2 linked regions of the Schizosaccharomyces pombe genome follow. Each later gene encodes a partner of the first gene's protein in a complex. Each region holds a gene or a part of one and is shown in the gene's direction. Other genes may lie near its edges. The genes, in order: cgi121 and kae1.

The links.
Region 2: cgi121 (region 1) and kae1 share a complex: the UniProt entries of both Schizosaccharomyces pombe proteins name them as parts of the EKC/KEOPS complex.

The regions. Positions count from the first base shown.
Region 1 is NC_003421.2:916,712-924,279, forward strand, and holds cgi121 (EKC/KEOPS complex subunit Cgi121), read left to right. Parts: upstream 1-4,666; 5' UTR 4,667-4,710; coding exon 4,711-5,235; downstream 5,236-7,568. Other genes in the region: rps1702 (40S ribosomal protein eS17), read left to right, coding at 1,153-1,155, 1,220-1,615; yta4 (ATPase Msp1), read right to left, coding at 2,061-3,128; THO complex subunit Tho7, read right to left, coding at 3,744-3,975, 4,025-4,175, 4,232-4,450, 4,504-4,510; skb5 (Shk1 kinase-binding protein 5), read left to right, coding at 6,358-6,780; XRCC4-like factor xlf1, read right to left, coding at 7,501-7,568. UniProt on the Schizosaccharomyces pombe protein: Component of the EKC/KEOPS complex that is required for the formation of a threonylcarbamoyl group on adenosine at position 37 (t(6)A37) in tRNAs that read codons beginning with adenine.
Region 2 is NC_003423.3:3,586,165-3,595,186, forward strand, and holds kae1 (EKC/KEOPS complex N(6)-L-threonylcarbamoyladenine synthase subunit), read left to right. Parts: upstream 1-4,798; 5' UTR 4,799-5,001; coding exon 5,002-5,582; exon of another isoform or gene 5,583-5,622; coding exon 5,623-6,082; 3' UTR 6,083-6,194; downstream 6,195-9,022. Other genes in the region: nat1 (NatA N-acetyltransferase complex subunit), read left to right, coding at 1-1,182; protein acl4, read right to left, coding at 1,314-2,324; tRNA (guanine-N2-)-methyltransferase catalytic subunit Trm11, read left to right, coding at 2,642-3,431, 3,475-3,639, 3,681-3,959, 3,999-4,114, 4,163-4,222; DNA replication endonuclease-helicase Dna2, read right to left, coding at 6,195-6,521, 6,569-7,283, 7,332-9,022. UniProt on the Schizosaccharomyces pombe protein: Component of the EKC/KEOPS complex that is required for the formation of a threonylcarbamoyl group on adenosine at position 37 (t(6)A37) in tRNAs that read codons beginning with adenine.

The DNA.
Region 1 (7,568 bases):
AATTTTTCGTCCCTATATGGTGGAGCAAAGTGATGATCCGATGCGTAGAATATCAAAGAAGCTTGAGTAAAATGAGAAGTAAAAGTTGGATTTCAAATATGAAAATTAGATCATTAAACTTAGAAAACTCTTTTGAATACGATTTATTAATAATGGTGGCTGAAGTTGAAGTTTTTGACTTTTCAATATCACCACCAGCAATTACTAAATACGATCGAAACGTGATTGCAATCAGAAAATAAGTTAAAATTCATTCACTGAATAGTTATTTTTGTTTAATAAAAAAATCTGTTGCGTTATATATGGTTTCTTTAACCGGAAGACGGCTTCTGTCTGTCGATAAGGTAGAATCAGAAAGAACTAACTCAGAGTATTAAAAAAACAAGAAAAAAGCAATTCCGGCTTATCAAACGAATCGATTCTGTAAAAATATCACAAAGTTGACATTTACTGGATTGAAGGTCTTTTCTTACTGCCGAAGCGAATGTTTATTTCCCTTTCTCATTTTGAAGAGCACCTGCACTGTCTTGTGCTATGCGACTAACAGGTCCAAGGTTTTTCTCTATTTATATAGCTATGATATTATAATTTCAAATACCATGTTGCCTTTTGGAACAGTTTTATTAAAAGCGTTTTATCACAATATATTAGCAGAGAAAACTATAGTAAATTTCTACGAACATTTTCACGGCTAAAAGTCATTGATTTAACATTAACGGAGTTCAATGCTAATGAATATGGCTTTGTTGTCAATTGCTTTATGTTTATATCAATTACAAAAATCAGTAAAATAGATCTTAACAGAGAACTTCTCTGCAATCACGACTTGATGAATAAGAGAATAAACCATAAATATGCTATGTTTAGTTAGCGTATCAAACATAGTGAAACGTAAAGTTTTCTGGACTTTTTATCGTTAATTAGATTAACACAACTCTATAGTGTTTGTGGTAATTGGATCTTAAACTATTTTACATAATGCTTTAGTATTCTTAATAATTATTATATCGCGCTACGATACTTTGTTTTACTTAAATTAGTATTTTGTAATAAACAAGAATATCTTTATTCGATAAACTAATTTGGACTTGAAAGCAGTCACACAGTACAAACTCAAGAATTCAGTGTAGTAAACTCATCACAGGAACAGAAATGGTAAGGCTTTCAATAGAATAGTTAAGAAACCGGTTTGAGGATAGAAATTACTGACAAAACATAGGGTCGTGTACGCACCAAAACTACGAAGAGAGCTTCTCGCGTAGTTATCGAGAAATACTACCCTCGTCTTACATTGGACTTCCAAACCAATAAGAGGATTGTCGATGAGGTTGCTATCATTGCTTCCAAGCGTCTCCGCAACAAGATTGCTGGATACACGACTCATCTTATGAAACGTATCCAACGCGGTCCTGTCCGTGGTATTTCCTTCAAGCTTCAAGAAGAAGAGCGTGAGCGCAAGGATCAATACGTTCCTGAAGTCTCTGAGCTCGAGAAGGACAAGATTAACGTTGATCAAGACACCAAGGATATGCTTAAAGCTCTTGGCTACGACTCTATCCCTACTGTCGTTGTCGCTGCCTCTCGCCCTGAGCGTCCCTTCCGTTACAGACACTAAATAACATTTTAAAAAAAATAAGATGTATGTTCTTTTGAACTGTCACGGTTATTTATTTTTGTGATGCATTTTGTACCATATTGTTGTATTTGTATTCATTTCGATTTGTAGACAGTAAAGTAGGTACGTAAAATCGCTCCTCTAGAAGCTCGGTAGTTAAATTTATTGTACATTTAGTTTAGACGATTTCAATTTTTTCATTTTTGTTTTTACAATCTTACAAATTTACTAAGACCGTTCGTTGTGAATATGATACCTACTGAAGATGAAAGTGCAATGGGCAGAAGTCGTTTAATAAAATAATTAAAATTGGCTGTTGTACAAACGCTCAATATGTTGACTTGACATATTAAGAGAAAAGGAAACTAAACGGTAGAATAATAAAACAATTCAAATTATGATAAACCCTGAGACGTAAATTCAATAAATACTTTTTCTAATAAATTCACTCGACGTCTATACCGGAAACATTTTGTAAGGATTCATAATGATAAAAGTCTTCCGTCTTCAAAGACCTCAAACCGCCTGATTGTATGTCATATTTGATTGCTTCCAAATCATTTCCATGCTTGTCAAAAAGCTCTCTGCGTGGAACTGATAAAGCAGATCTACAGACTTCCTTGATATATGAGCCAGACAGTCCAGCAGTGGCATTAACAACTCCATTCCAATCAAAGTTCGCTTCTAACGGTACCTTTTTTAAATAAAGTTCTAAAATCTTGCGACGCTGTTCGGCATTTGGAAGAGGTATGGAGAATACTTTAGGCATACGACGCCGAATGGCCTCGTCGATGTCAGCTGGTCGATTAGTAGCACCCAAAACAAGAACCCGTGACTGACCACTCAATAAACCATCCCACATCGACATAAATTCAGCTTTAATTTGAGCCATTGCTTCATGGTCTGTCCTTTGGCGTTGCCGCAAGAAAGTATCAATTTCATCGATAAATATTATAGTAGGCTCAAGCTTACGAGCTAGTGTGAATAATGCGTCCACAAGCTTGTTTGATTCACCGAACCATTTGTCTGTTAAAAGGCCCACACTCACATTTATAAATGTAGCTTGACTTTGCTTGGCTAATGCTTTAGCTAGCATTGTTTTACCACATCCAGGAGGCCCGTACAAGAGTAAACCCTTTGGACACGACAAAAGTCCGCCATGGGTGTCAAACACTTCAGGGTATTTTAAAGGAAAAAGTACATCTTGCAAAAGCTGATTAACATGTTCATCCATACCTCCAATATCATCAAAGGAAACATCGATTTCGCTGGGTAGAACGAGCTGTGATGCAACAATCTGCTCATACTCATTTAATTCCAGAGTCTCCAATTCCTTGACTTGTTCCCCAGCCCACTCATCAAGTCGCTTACGGCTTTTGGAAACTGTATCCTGCCTTTTTTGTCGATACGGATCTAAAGTAGACAAAAGTTTATGTGCTGCGTACCAAGAGCAACCAAATGCTAAGGCATAGACAACGATCTCTTTAATTGCCCTTTTAGTCGTCGGATTCATAATCAATTCCCCAGTAATAAACTTCAAAATGCAAGCACACAAAATTTTATGCAGTAAATTTGTCTGGTGGCACGCTACTACTATTGGGGCGGTTGGTATGTTCAGCTAAATGGGTAAAGAAGATATACAAAGTTGATCGTACTTTGCTACATTGTTTGGAAAATATATTCATTGAAAAAATTATTTTTAAATAAAAAATTTTCATTTTCCTAAAGAAACAATCCCAATGGTTTCAAAGCGCAGTTATCAATTATCAAAAGTGGTAATGTAACAATAAATATTTACTCTCTGTGCCAAAAGATTTGGTTATAGATGAAATAACAATTAGTAAACAATAATAATTAAGCAGAGATTTTTTCTGAGTAAATAACCCATTGAAAAATGAGAATAAAAATGGAGCGAGAAACCTTTTAGGAGATTTGGATATACTTATAAATATCCAAAAGGGAACCTAACGGAACTATATACAAAACAATAAAGGACATATCAAGACTAAATCGCTATGCCCGTCCAGTGAAGCTCACTGTTTAACATATCCTAAACGGAAAAACCATTCCTATCATTCGTAAATTCACGAAAATTTTTAAATTATATACAATTTTTTCCTCCTAGGATTTATTTGGCCTTGTATTGAGTCGAACTTGACGACGAAGGATTTTCACCTTCACTAGCAATGCCTTCTTCTGAATCAGATTCGGGATTACTAGGAGGATGCAATATAGACTGTAGGTGGTTCATTTGCTTTAAAGTTTCATCAAAAATATCTTTTCTCAAATTCCATGCTTTTACATAATTCGCGTTTTCTTCTTCTAACTCACGAATAGCATCTTGCAACTTTCCTATTGATCTGTAAACCCGGTCAGTCTAAAATATTCAATATAAATCTGGAAACTTACTCTTGTTGTTCTGTTCTTGATCTCAATCCTTTTGACATTATTGGCTTGGCCAACTCGTCGTATTGTTCACGCTTTCTTAATTCTTCTTGGGCAACTAGTAAATCTTGCTCAAGCTGGCTTATTTCGGTTTTTTCTGCTTCACAAAATGTTTCTGAAAATATTAATAAAAACATCACTGTACTTAAAGTTACGAATTTAATCACATACGAGTCTTCTTCAGTTCTCCTTCGTAAACATCCACTTCTTTAGCATTCATGTCTAATTGCATTTGCAATCGAAGCCAAAAAGCAGAGAGAGCAGAAAATTCAATTTCTAAATCCCTTAAGTTTGCTTCGTCTACATTTTGAGCAGCAAAACCAAGACACCGACTAATCAACCGTTTCAAAGGCCGTTCTTCCACAGTTAAGCGCGATCGAATCGCCGTCTCTGACATATCGGTTAACTTAATATTTTCAAAAAAAAAATTATTTATAGCATACCCTCCATAATGAATTGAGTAAAAAAAAAGCAAATTCACTATACAATTTAGTTGGGCGCTAAGTCAGTAGCTGGAGTGTTCGGAGTTTTAGTCACCGTATTTTACCGATGTTTACCGGCAAAAAGTTATTAGTACGATTATTACCTAAGAAATGTAAAAACGCTAACAAGGATTGCAGTTTGATATTGCTATAGAACAGGCGGGCAAAATGATTTTACCTCTTTTTCCAGAGACACAAGTTCATGTTTTTGTATATGAAAATGTTTCTAACTGTGCTGCGATTCATGAACAACTAATAAGCCAGAATCCCATTTATGACTATGCGTTTCTCGATGCCGCTACTATTCTATATAAAAAGCAGGTTTATAGCGCTATTATTAGGGCTCTCGAAGATAGAAGGGACGAACAAATGAAAACTAAGACGATTCACTCAGAGGTTATTTTGTCATTGTCCCCAAAAACCGAAATTTCTAGTGCGTTCCGACAATTCAGCATGACAAAAAAATCTAAAAACATTGTAGTGGTAAAAATTGATAGCAAACTTACAGAAGAAGAAGAATTTGAGCGCTTGGACAAACTTGTGGAAGGTAATAGGGTCGAATTTTCTGACGAAGAGTTACAAAAATTAATAGACTTCAAGGTGTTAAAAAAGAATTACAAATTGGATCCCTCTACGCTTGAGAATCCTTTGGCCTCTATATTATCTTCGATAGCTCTACGTGGTTATTCTTAAAAACATATGTTCTAGCAAATCTGATCTTTTGTCAATGTTTCACAATTGATTTGACTATTTTTCTATGCGGCTTGAATGATAATGATGAGAGTTCCAAATGGAACGTTGTGTGGATTCTTCTATTCCTTATAATTTTTTCCTCTCTCAAATGACTGTACAAACTATTTAGCAAGCACCTACATAATCAATTTTTGATTTACGAATTGGTAAAGGATGGCACGTAAAGTTATGCCCTCTGGTTTGGTTCAGTTTTATGATCTCTTGACAGTTTTACTAAAGTAACTAAGGGCATTTCATTACGATTATCTGTTTCGATACTTTTACCTAGGGAATGCTTTAGTGTTATTTGACATCATGTTTTGTTCTTGTGCAATATTTTTTGCTCAGGTCTATTGGCGATGAATTACTATATGGTGGATCTCAGTGCAAAAAGTTTACCATTATGTGAATAGTTATTAAAAGTTTAATGGGATTATAAATTAATGGGTTTTTTATTGCGCACCTTATGCTCCTGTTATAAAGAAAAGCAGGTCGCAAAGGTAAGAACTATTTTTATACAACAATAAAGGTTTTTACATCGTATGTTTTACAATTAACTGGCAGCTCTTTGTCAAAATTGTTTATTTACGGATTTAACTTGCCTTCTTGCGGTATTGACTGCTAAGCCGGAATTTGTGATATCAAGCCATCCGTTTCCCAGTCACGCGAAAACTCTTCCTTATGGAAATTTCATTTTAACAAGTACAAATCTGTTAAAACTACATTCATATAATCATATGCAGGCAGCCGATTAGAGAAAAACTAAATTTCTTAGGCAGAATTGTCATTATCCGTCAATACCGCGTTTTTTTTATTTTCCGCTTTGATTTTTTTTATCATTCTTTTTGGTTCTTTTATTTTTGTTTTTATTTGTTTTGTTTTCTTTTTTTCCTTTTCAAAAGTCATTTGAAGACAAAAACTCAACGTTGAAGAGAGCATTTGTTCATCTGTTGACTTTTCGCCAATACACCTGTTTTTTTATGGACTTGCTAAGTATAGTGTAAATTTAACGCTGTCGTTGATCCGTATGATTTCTTTTGATTAATTTAAATCGTTATATGTGACACTAGCAATTTTTGCTTCATGGCGGAAGAGACTGAAGAGGATTATTTAGTTGTGGGTCGTGATTACTTGTACCCCCCAGATCATGAACTGCACTATGGGTTTCATGCTCGTGTGATTGAAGAGGAGGAGGAGCGATTTGTAGATGATACCTTTGATGAAACAATCGAAGGATCGGATGACTCCGAATCAATAGATGATACGGAAGTATTTTACGATGCTGAAGAATCTGAAAGCACTCACCCTTCTGCTTCTTTCAACGTCCTTGCTGACGCCGTTGCGCTTTATGATTTCGAGCCCCTCCATGATAATGAACTCGGTTTTACTACTGGTCAGAGACTTTGTATTTTGTCGGAATCCAGCGATGGTTGGTTGATTGCATACGATGATGCCTCAGGAAGAAGCGGGCTTGTTCCTGAGACGTTTGTTAAATTAGAGGTATAAAAGAGCGTTGAATTGAACCCTTTTTACTTTTTCTTTTTGTCAAATTGATTTTAAAATGTTATTCCTTATTTTATGTTCCAAGATTTTCTGGATCCTCTCCTTTATATATAAGAATCCGAAGTGTTACGGGAAAAAAATTCGGATTGTCACGCTTCTTATGAATATTATTTAAATGTACGCCTTTAAAGCAACTATCATACAATTCTCCTTTGGGTAAATAACTAACCTTGGGATGTGTCGTAACTTGGGACTTATTTTTGATTTGTTATAAGGATGAAATGAATGTTCTATCTTATGGACCTTACAAGAAAAACTATAATATTGTCAAATATAATCATATGAGATGAGTTAAGCTACATAAAACTCTTTGAAACTTTATTTTATATTATTGCAACCTTCTAATAACTTTACATCTTCTTATCCAAAGAAGAAGGGTTAGAATGTACCGTGTTTTACGGAAGTTCCATTCCCGTAGGGTTACAATGTGTTGCTAGAATAAACCGTAAGTCATAGTACATATAGAGGCCAATTCTGTAAACTTTTTTAAAGTCTATGGAAAACCCTCTATGTGTCTCCAATAGAGAACGGACATCTCTTTCTGATTAGTATATACGTTTTCATAGTCTCTTCATCCTGAGGTAAATTGTACAAAACGCTGTAGTTAAACATGTGATCGAGTTAAATAGATATCTTCATAGTTCAATATACCATTAGATTTTTTTAAACAAAATCATAACGAGTACGAGGTCGTTTTGGAGAAATAATATCTGCAAATGCTGAACGTTTTC
Region 2 (9,022 bases), on another chromosome or scaffold:
AAAAATCTGGACTACGATTTTTGTTTAAATCACTTGATCTCGTATTCCATGCATCATTTTATTCCTTCCTTCATCAGTTTACTTAAAATCCCACTTAAAACAAATGATGCGTTCTCTAAGAAGTTAATTACTATGTTGAGTAATTTTAGAGAAGGCGATTCTGCTAAAAATATACCAACACATAAACTATGGTGTACCTATTGCTTATGCCTCGCACACTATAAGCTAGGTGATTATGAAGAATCGAATTATTGGCTCAATTTAGCAATTGATCATACACCGACTTATCCAGAACTTTTTTTGGCAAAAGCAAAAATTTTCTTGTGCATGGGTGAAATTGAAGAGGCACTGTGCTCATTTAAACGGTCAGTGGAACTTGATAAAAGTGACCGTGCTCTAGCTTCTAAATATGCAAAATATTTAATACGTATGGATAGAAATGAGGAAGCTTATATTGTCTTGTCTAAGTTCTCACGATTCAGATTTGGCGGGGTATGCAATTATTTAGCAGAAACTGAATGTGTTTGGTTTTTAGTTGAAGATGGTGAGTCCCTATTACGGCAGAAATTATATGGGCTAGCTTTGAAAAGGTTCCATTCTATTTATCAAATTTACAAAAAATGGTCATTTTTGAAATTTGATTATTTCACACAATGTGCAGAGGACGGTGAATTTCAAGAATACGTTGAATTAGTAGAGTGGTCCGATAACCTGTGGTCTTCAACAGATTATTTGAGAGCTACTCTTGGTGCTCTTACCATATACCTATTGTTGTTTGAATCCAAGTTTAATATGTACGGAAATAAAGCTGAAGAGATATCCCATATGTCGGAAGTTGAACAAATTGCGTACGCTAGAGAGGACAATAAGAAAATCATGAAATTGCAAAAAATAGAGGAGGATAAGATTAAAAGTTACATCCCTTCTGAAAGTGAAGAGCCGTTGGTTATTGATGAAGACTACTTTGGGCATAAGCTGCTAATCACTGATGATCCATTAACAGAAGCTATGAGGTTCTTACAGCCAATTTGCTGGCATAAAATCAAAGGCTGGGGATTCTTAAAAATTTTATCTTCTAAACTTTATAAACTTAAAGGTATAATATTCTGTTATTACGCACTAACTAACAACATTGAAGGATTACACCAAAAAGCTAATAGTCTAGAAACTTCAGTATTGTAAGAACCCCTTTTCGGATACACAGTTATGAAGGATGTGATGTCGACGGACTATATTTATATTTTGATAACCTATAATACCCAAAAATTAAAACCCTAAAAGTGACAACTTATTCAAGGAAACCACACAAAATTCTAATCTTCATCCATTTCCTCTTCGTTTTCAGAAGTTTCCCACTCAGCTTCTTCGTTTTCTTCGTCCATATTCGGTACACCAAGGCCATTCAAAATTTCGAGTAGTTCCTGAATATGACTCTTGATGCCCTCATCATCCCATCCTATTTTTTGATATACACCTAAGGCCGAAATGAAATAAAACTTTGCATTCATGAGAAGCTCTTTTATTTCTTCCTCAGACCCATTACCCTGTTCTTGTAGGTTTTGAGCTTCTACATAACAGTTCCAGCCCAATAAGTACCATATATCCAAAATTTGATCATCCTCTTTCTGAAGGTATACCAAAAGTTGATGAGCCTCTTCATGCATTTCAACTTCAATTAATAGCCTCACAATGGATGTTCGAACTGCATAGGTAGGGAGATCAACACTATCCTCCGTAGCCGCCCTAGAAATAGATTGCAAACATTTAGATAAAGCATCTTTGGCTTCCTCTATTTTTTGTTGACTAATACGCATAGATGCTAGTGTCTGTAAAGCTTCAGCGTTTGTGGCATCAATCTGTAATGCTAGTTTTGTATATAACTCACAATTTTCTTCAGCATCAGGTTGCATACATAAATCGGTCATAAAAAGCTCAGCAATGCTGCAATAAGCTCCCTGAATCTTTTTCTTAAGATCTGCGTCTTCTCCTTTGTCTATCAAAAGTCGTTCGAGGATAGTGACTCCTTTTTGATAAAGTTTTAAAGCTTTCGATCCATTATCATTAATTTGGGCAAGCCAAAGGTATTTTTCGTACCCTTGGTCATTTGTTAAATTTTTTGATCGCGAAACAGCCTCCTTAAAAGCAGACCTCGCTTTTTTAACGTCAGCTAACTCTGCATAAACTTCACCCAATAGCTCGAACGCCCTTCCATCTTCCTTGGGACTTTTATCCGCAGCTTTTTTGGCAAGAATTAATGCTTCGGATGTTTCGTCTTTTACTAACTTCTCACGAATTTCTAATAATTCGGCGTCGGTTACAGACATATTGATTGTTTCGTTTATTAATTGTGCTTCCAACCTTCTTTTATTTAACAAAGGGCTTTAAAAAAGTATATTTGGTTATTAAAAGTATTACAAAACATAAAGATTTGTTTAATAACCAAACAATGCAAAACTACAGTAAGTTGGCAAAGGTCTAGTGGTTTTGTTGCTAAGATGAAATTTTTCTTCCACTACAACATTCTCGTAAACTAGTCATTTATAAAATTTTAGTAAAGCTAGTATTTACTTACAATAGAAGGCCATATATGTTTTTTCAGATATTTTAAATCCCATATCCAATAAATGTTGTAACCCTTAAGATGTCTGTCTATTTACTGCATTTAGCTTCTACTCATGCACACTTTCATTTGCCTGAATTAGAAACATTAGCTAAGATTGAAAACGTTGAGTTTTGGTTAATTCCAAAATCAGAATATTTGAATGTTGCTTTCAAAAGCGATAAAAGTCGGAATCAGGCATTGTTTTCTCATGCAATTAAAGAGTTTCAAGACTCAATTTCTCCGAATGATGCTACAACCCAAAATCCATTTATGCTAGCCGTCGTTAATAGCAACGAAGATGCAAGGCGTTGGATTCGGAGATCAATTTTTTGTAAAGGGATATACGAAATATATTGTATTGGGGATTCTTTTACGCGGTTACATGAAAAGATGAAAGAGCTAAATCCCGCACCTTGGGACTCTTTTAAACATAATAGTTCATACAAATTTACATTTGAAACTTTTGGCACCCGAAGGACGATGAAGGAACAATTGTCAATTATAAGCGATTTTGAATACATGCAGTTACAAGGACCAGTATCTATGCACAACCCGCAACACGTATTCACGGTTTTAGAAAATCGTAGGAACAACGTAGAAGGGCCTAAAGTTTACTTTGGTCATTGGTGCGGCAGTGGTTCTCGTGATGCAATTGATACATTTGATTTGAAACAAAGAAGCTACATTGGAATTACTAGTTTTGACGCAGAGCTTTCTCTTGTAACGGCTCAAATGGCTATGGCAGCTCCTGGGAAACTTATATATGATCCATTTGTAGGAACTGGAAGTTTTTTATATACATGTAGTTTTTTTGGAGCTCATACACTTGGTAGGTTGCTCTCCAGTTATGCCAAACTAACATTGTTTTGCAGGTTCTGATATAGATGGTAGGCAGATGCGCGGAAAAAATGGAAGATCTATTAAATCCAATTTTCGGCAATACAAATTGTCCCCATTCTTTTTAGATACTTTCACTGGAGATGTCACTAATTGCCCACTGAGGAAAAATTTATTACTAGATGCGATTGTCTGCGACCGTAAGTCTTTCTTTTTTAACATTTCCATTAACATTTGATAGCTCCTTATGGCGTCCGTGCTGGTGCTAAAAAGATCGCCAAATGCTCTCAAAGACCACCCAAAGAGTCCAGTTCAACCGGTAATCACTATCCAAAGTTGGAGCAATATCAAATTAGTGATATGGTTTACGACATTATATGTTTTGCCTCAGATCGTCTTGTTGATGGTGGTCGATTGGTTTTGTGGCTTCCAACTATAACAGAAGAGTATGGTATCGATGATATTCCTTCACATCCGTATCTTTCTTTGATTTATAATAGCATACAGCCTTTCACTCACTGTAAGTTTTAACCAACCATACATTTTATTAACCTATTAGGGTCACGTCGATTGTTGACGTTTCAGAGACTCCCTAGAGCTCACGATTCAAAAAGTTTAAATTTACTCCCTAAAATAAATAATAAGACACCCTCGCACCACAATTTTCGAGAAAAGGTAAGCTAGTTCAGACGGCTCAACAAATTACTAATGTGAATATAACAGTACTTTAGCAGCGCAGGGCGTGCATCCGCAAGTACCAAATTTTCTCCTGTCTTAGAATAAATTAGCAATGGATTTGTTGAGGCAAGGAAATAAAAAGAGAATAAATTTGATGTCCTGTTATCCGTTTCCCTTTTCCTCTCCTCTGGTTTTTTAATTTTAGCAACTTTTTTGGTTTAAAGAATACGAGATTGTTAAATAAATTTGGGTTTTTAATTGTTACTTGTAATATACTACATTTATTTTTCGTATAGTCATGAAGCAGCAATTTTCCAAAGCACTATTGAAATAGCATGTCTAAAACTATATAAAAAAATTTTTGGTATTTCGTGTCCAATTTACCATTAGAAAAATATATATATATATTTATATTTATATGCTATGGCTTGTTTATGAAAGCAGATTAGTATTTAAGAATTATTTATTTCGCAATAGGGAGTAAAAAAATTTTAAACCGAAAAGCAACTCATATGGTATTAGAAAAAATAAAATAAAATCGAACAAAGTCGTACACAATTTATATTTTCATGCTTACGTAGAGTTTATAAATATTTGTAGATCAAAACTAAGAGGTAAAAATATCCGATTTTTCTAAGGTGTAAGCAAATGGATTAATAAATGGTGTAAGCGAATTTATCTAGTACACACACTTTTCTTGGACTACAATATATAGATTATAATATATCGAAAAATATTCAGTTTCTTATTTTTGGGTATTTTCTATCAGAAATAACTTTAGTTGGTTTGTTTGAGCTTGCTCGCAACTTTTTAACTTACTGATACATAAAAGAACGGCATATGTTGACCAGTGAGGAACCGTATATTTATTCACGTTAATAATTATGGGAAAACCTTTAATTGCACTTGGATTAGAGGGTTCAGCAAACAAATTAGGCGTTGGTATTATTTTGCATGATACCAATGGATCGGCTAAAATATTAGCAAATGTCAGACACACTTATATCACTCCTCCCGGACAGGGATTCTTGCCCAGCGATACTGCTAAGCATCATCGTGCGTGGATAATCCCTTTAATTAAGCAAGCGTTTGCTGAGGCAAAAATTTCTTTTAAAGATATTGATTGCATTTGTTTCACAAAGGGGCCAGGAATCGGTGCTCCTCTGAATAGTGTAGCTCTTTGTGCTAGGATGTTATCACTAATTCACAAGAAACCTTTAGTAGCAGTTAATCATTGTATTGGTCACATTGAAATGGGTCGTGAAATTACGGGTGCACAAAATCCTGTCGTGCTTTATGTTTCTGGGGGAAACACTCAAGTAATTGCATACTCAGAGAAGAAGTATAGGATTTTTGGTGAAACGCTTGATATTGCTATAGGCAATTGTTTGGATCGATTTGCCAGAATCATTGGTTTGTCCAATGCACCTTCACCTGGTTACAATATTATGCAAGAAGCAAAAAAGTAAGACTCACTTTGATGTTTTATACTAATTTTTTCCTAGAGGCAAAAGATTTATAGAGTTACCCTATACTGTTAAAGGTATGGATTGTTCATTTTCCGGATTGTTGTCAGGGGTTGAAGCGGCAGCTACAGAGCTATTAGACCCAAAAAATCCGAGTTCTGTTACAAAGCAAGATCTTTGTTACTCTTTACAGGAAACTGGCTTTGCAATGCTAGTTGAAATTACAGAACGCGCGATGGCACATATCAGAGCTGATTCTGTTTTAATTGTTGGAGGTGTTGGATGCAATGAACGTCTCCAACAAATGATGGCTGAAATGAGTTCGGATAGAGGCGCTGATGTTTTTTCTACAGATGAACGTTTCTGTATTGATAATGGTATAATGATAGCCCAAGCAGGGTTGTTGGCTTATAAAACCGGGGACCGATGTGCCGTCGCAGAATCGACGATTACTCAAAGATATCGTACTGACGATGTTTATATATCATGGAGGGATTAATACTTATATTCATGAACAAGGATCAGATGAATTTTATTTTAGGCATTTATATATACATTCTTCATTATGAAGATCGTATCCAGTAAAATATTGAGTTTTTTGAAGTAGATTATCAAAATTCCAGTTGAGGTAAAATAGCTTTTTCACATAAATTGTCACTATTAAAAAACCTTTGGTTCTTTCTAATAATAACTTTAGCATTATTTGTCGTTGCAACCTGAGAACAATCCTTAATTGGAGAGCTATTCTCGTCAAATTTCGTTGCTATATCATTCTCATTTAACGTGAAAATCCATTTGTTTTTTTCTAATAATTTCAATAAATGAGAAACTATATTTGAAGACGAAAGAGTAGATAACGAGCCAAACATAATACATTTCACTTTCGCCCTGCTTAAAGCAACGTTCAAACGATGCCAATCGCGTAGCAATTCTCCAACCTAAATAAATGGTTAGCAGTTGTGTAAATAATTGGTTCAATACTCACTAAGTTTTTACTGTTGGATCTCACAAAAGATATTAAAATGATGTCCTTGTCTCTTCCTTGATAACGATCGACAGTGTTAATTTCTATTTCAGTGAATGATTTAAGATTCTTAGAAAGCAACTCCACCTGACTTTTGTAAATTGAAATTATCCCGATAGAACTTTGCTTAACGCCTCGTTCCAAGAAGGAGGAAACTGCTTGTTCTATCAAAAAAGCTTCAGTATGATTTTCTAGAATATTATTAGTTTTTGATTCAACTCCCAGAATATCATCGGTATTAAAAAATATGACTGAATGACTAGGATTGATTAACTTGTTGACCCAATGTAGGCTAGACGACGAATCGGGTAAACCATCACTTAGATGAGCTTTTGGCAAAATTAATTTTTTTTGGGATATCGTCTTGGACCCACACACCAAATTGCCGCCATAAATAAGTTCACTAGATAATGAATTAATGTCTTCATTCATACGATATTGTAGTCTTAAAGTGGTAACGGCTTCAGGATGCTTTTCTGATAGTAATTTAAATAGACTGAGCGACAAACCATCCTTAGATGTTCTTGAATTTTTTACTAAAGGAGGAAGTTGATAATGATCACCAACTAAAACAAATTTTTCAGCAAGCTGCAAAGGGCCTAAGCAAATTGGTAGAGGTATTTGGGATGCCTCATCAATTATACAATAATCGAATTTTCTTTTATTGAAAATGGAACTAATGTTGTTAGTAGTTTGTTCATTGCCGTCGCTTTCAATTACTTACTGATATACCCCTAGAGAAGAGCATGCAACTATTTGGGGGTCTTCGTAAAAATGTTTTAATGACGCTAAGTCGTCAAACGTCGTTCCTTCAGTCAAACAAAATTCTTTTACTAGGGGATGGATTTTATGAGGAGATCCTAAGCGGACGATTGTGCTATCACAACCCTTCAGTTTAATTAAAATGTTATCAACTGCTAAATGCGTAAAAGAAGTAAGAAGTATTTTCTTCTTTTTGGCAAGCAATGATCTGATTAAGCTAGAAATTGTAGTGGTTTTCCCCGTTCCAGGCATTCCGAGTATCAAACTATAATGTTCTGCAGCGTGGCATTTCTTTAAAGCTGTAATTTGATCTTCGTTTAAACATTTCAAAAATTCAGGATCGATTAATGCACTATTACAAAATTTTGGAGGCTTCAAACGGATAATCATGTCCCTTATAATTAAGGGAGCATCTGGTAATACAGAAGACATCAAGGTACCTCTTATTGATGCAATTCCGCTCGAAAATTCGTCCTTATCAATTCTGTACCTCGTATGGTTACTTCCGATAAATGACAATTTGGAATCTTCATAGTTACCAAAAAATACCTGGTTTTTTTTGAAATCAAAGTTAGGCATCTTTAGCCATGGAATATGAAGTCGATGACGAGTTCGTACTTCAATACATGAATCTTGAATATGGACTATGTGTCCTTTAGCTAGTGACCAGTGTCCATGTTCATCAGAAATAAATACTCGTTCACCAACGCTGAAGCCTGAGTGCAAGAAATTTCGAGGATAACCATTGTCATTTAAAAAAGCGAATTTGTAATGAAAAACCCTGTCATCAATTTCTAAACAAACGATATCCTCTTTAGTAATGTATAAAGGATACAGAGTTTTTCCATAAGCTTCTAGCTCTTCTGTATCAAAAGTCAACACATCGCCTCTTTTTAGTAGTAAGAGTCGTTCCTCTTGATTTAATAACTTCTCCCACTTCTTATAAAATTCAAGATCCTCATCTTTTACTTCGCGCATCCATTCATTCCATGACTCAGTCAAGCCGTTACTATTAGCTACTCCTTTATCACTCATCTTTTGAAAGAACAAACATTCAGAAACTAAACTGCAGTGATCGCAAATTTTTCGGTTCGAAATCATTTCAGGAAGGCTGCGCCTAAAGTTATGCTGTGCAAGAGAATTTCTTGTCATGATCAACCCTCGAAGTTGGGAGTTACTTGCAACCAAATTCTTGATAGTACTATTTTCCAAATAGCATAATAATGCCTGATTAGTATTGATACCATAACGATCTGAAATGAGTAATGTATAAAGCAAACTTTGAGCAAAATGGCTAATATTGTCGACATATCGGCCAGTTTTAAGCTCTAACGGAAGTGTGAGGGTTGACGAAGACTCAGGTTTTTCAGTTAAAACCACCTCAACTGTAGCATCGATATTACCTTTTAATCCAAATCTGGGTGACCATATGGATTCCTCAATATCGAGAAGCCTTGAAATGTGAATACTTTCATTGTTGTTGTCATTTTTTTTACTTATTAAATATCTTTCAACAATAGATTTAAGAAGGGGAAGCCTCGCATCAAGTTCCTCTCGAATTTCATCGAGCGACAAATCAGCAAAATAGATATCAGAGATGTATGTTTTTATTGATGTTTCAAGGTTGATATCAACATTTTCAAGGGCATCAAT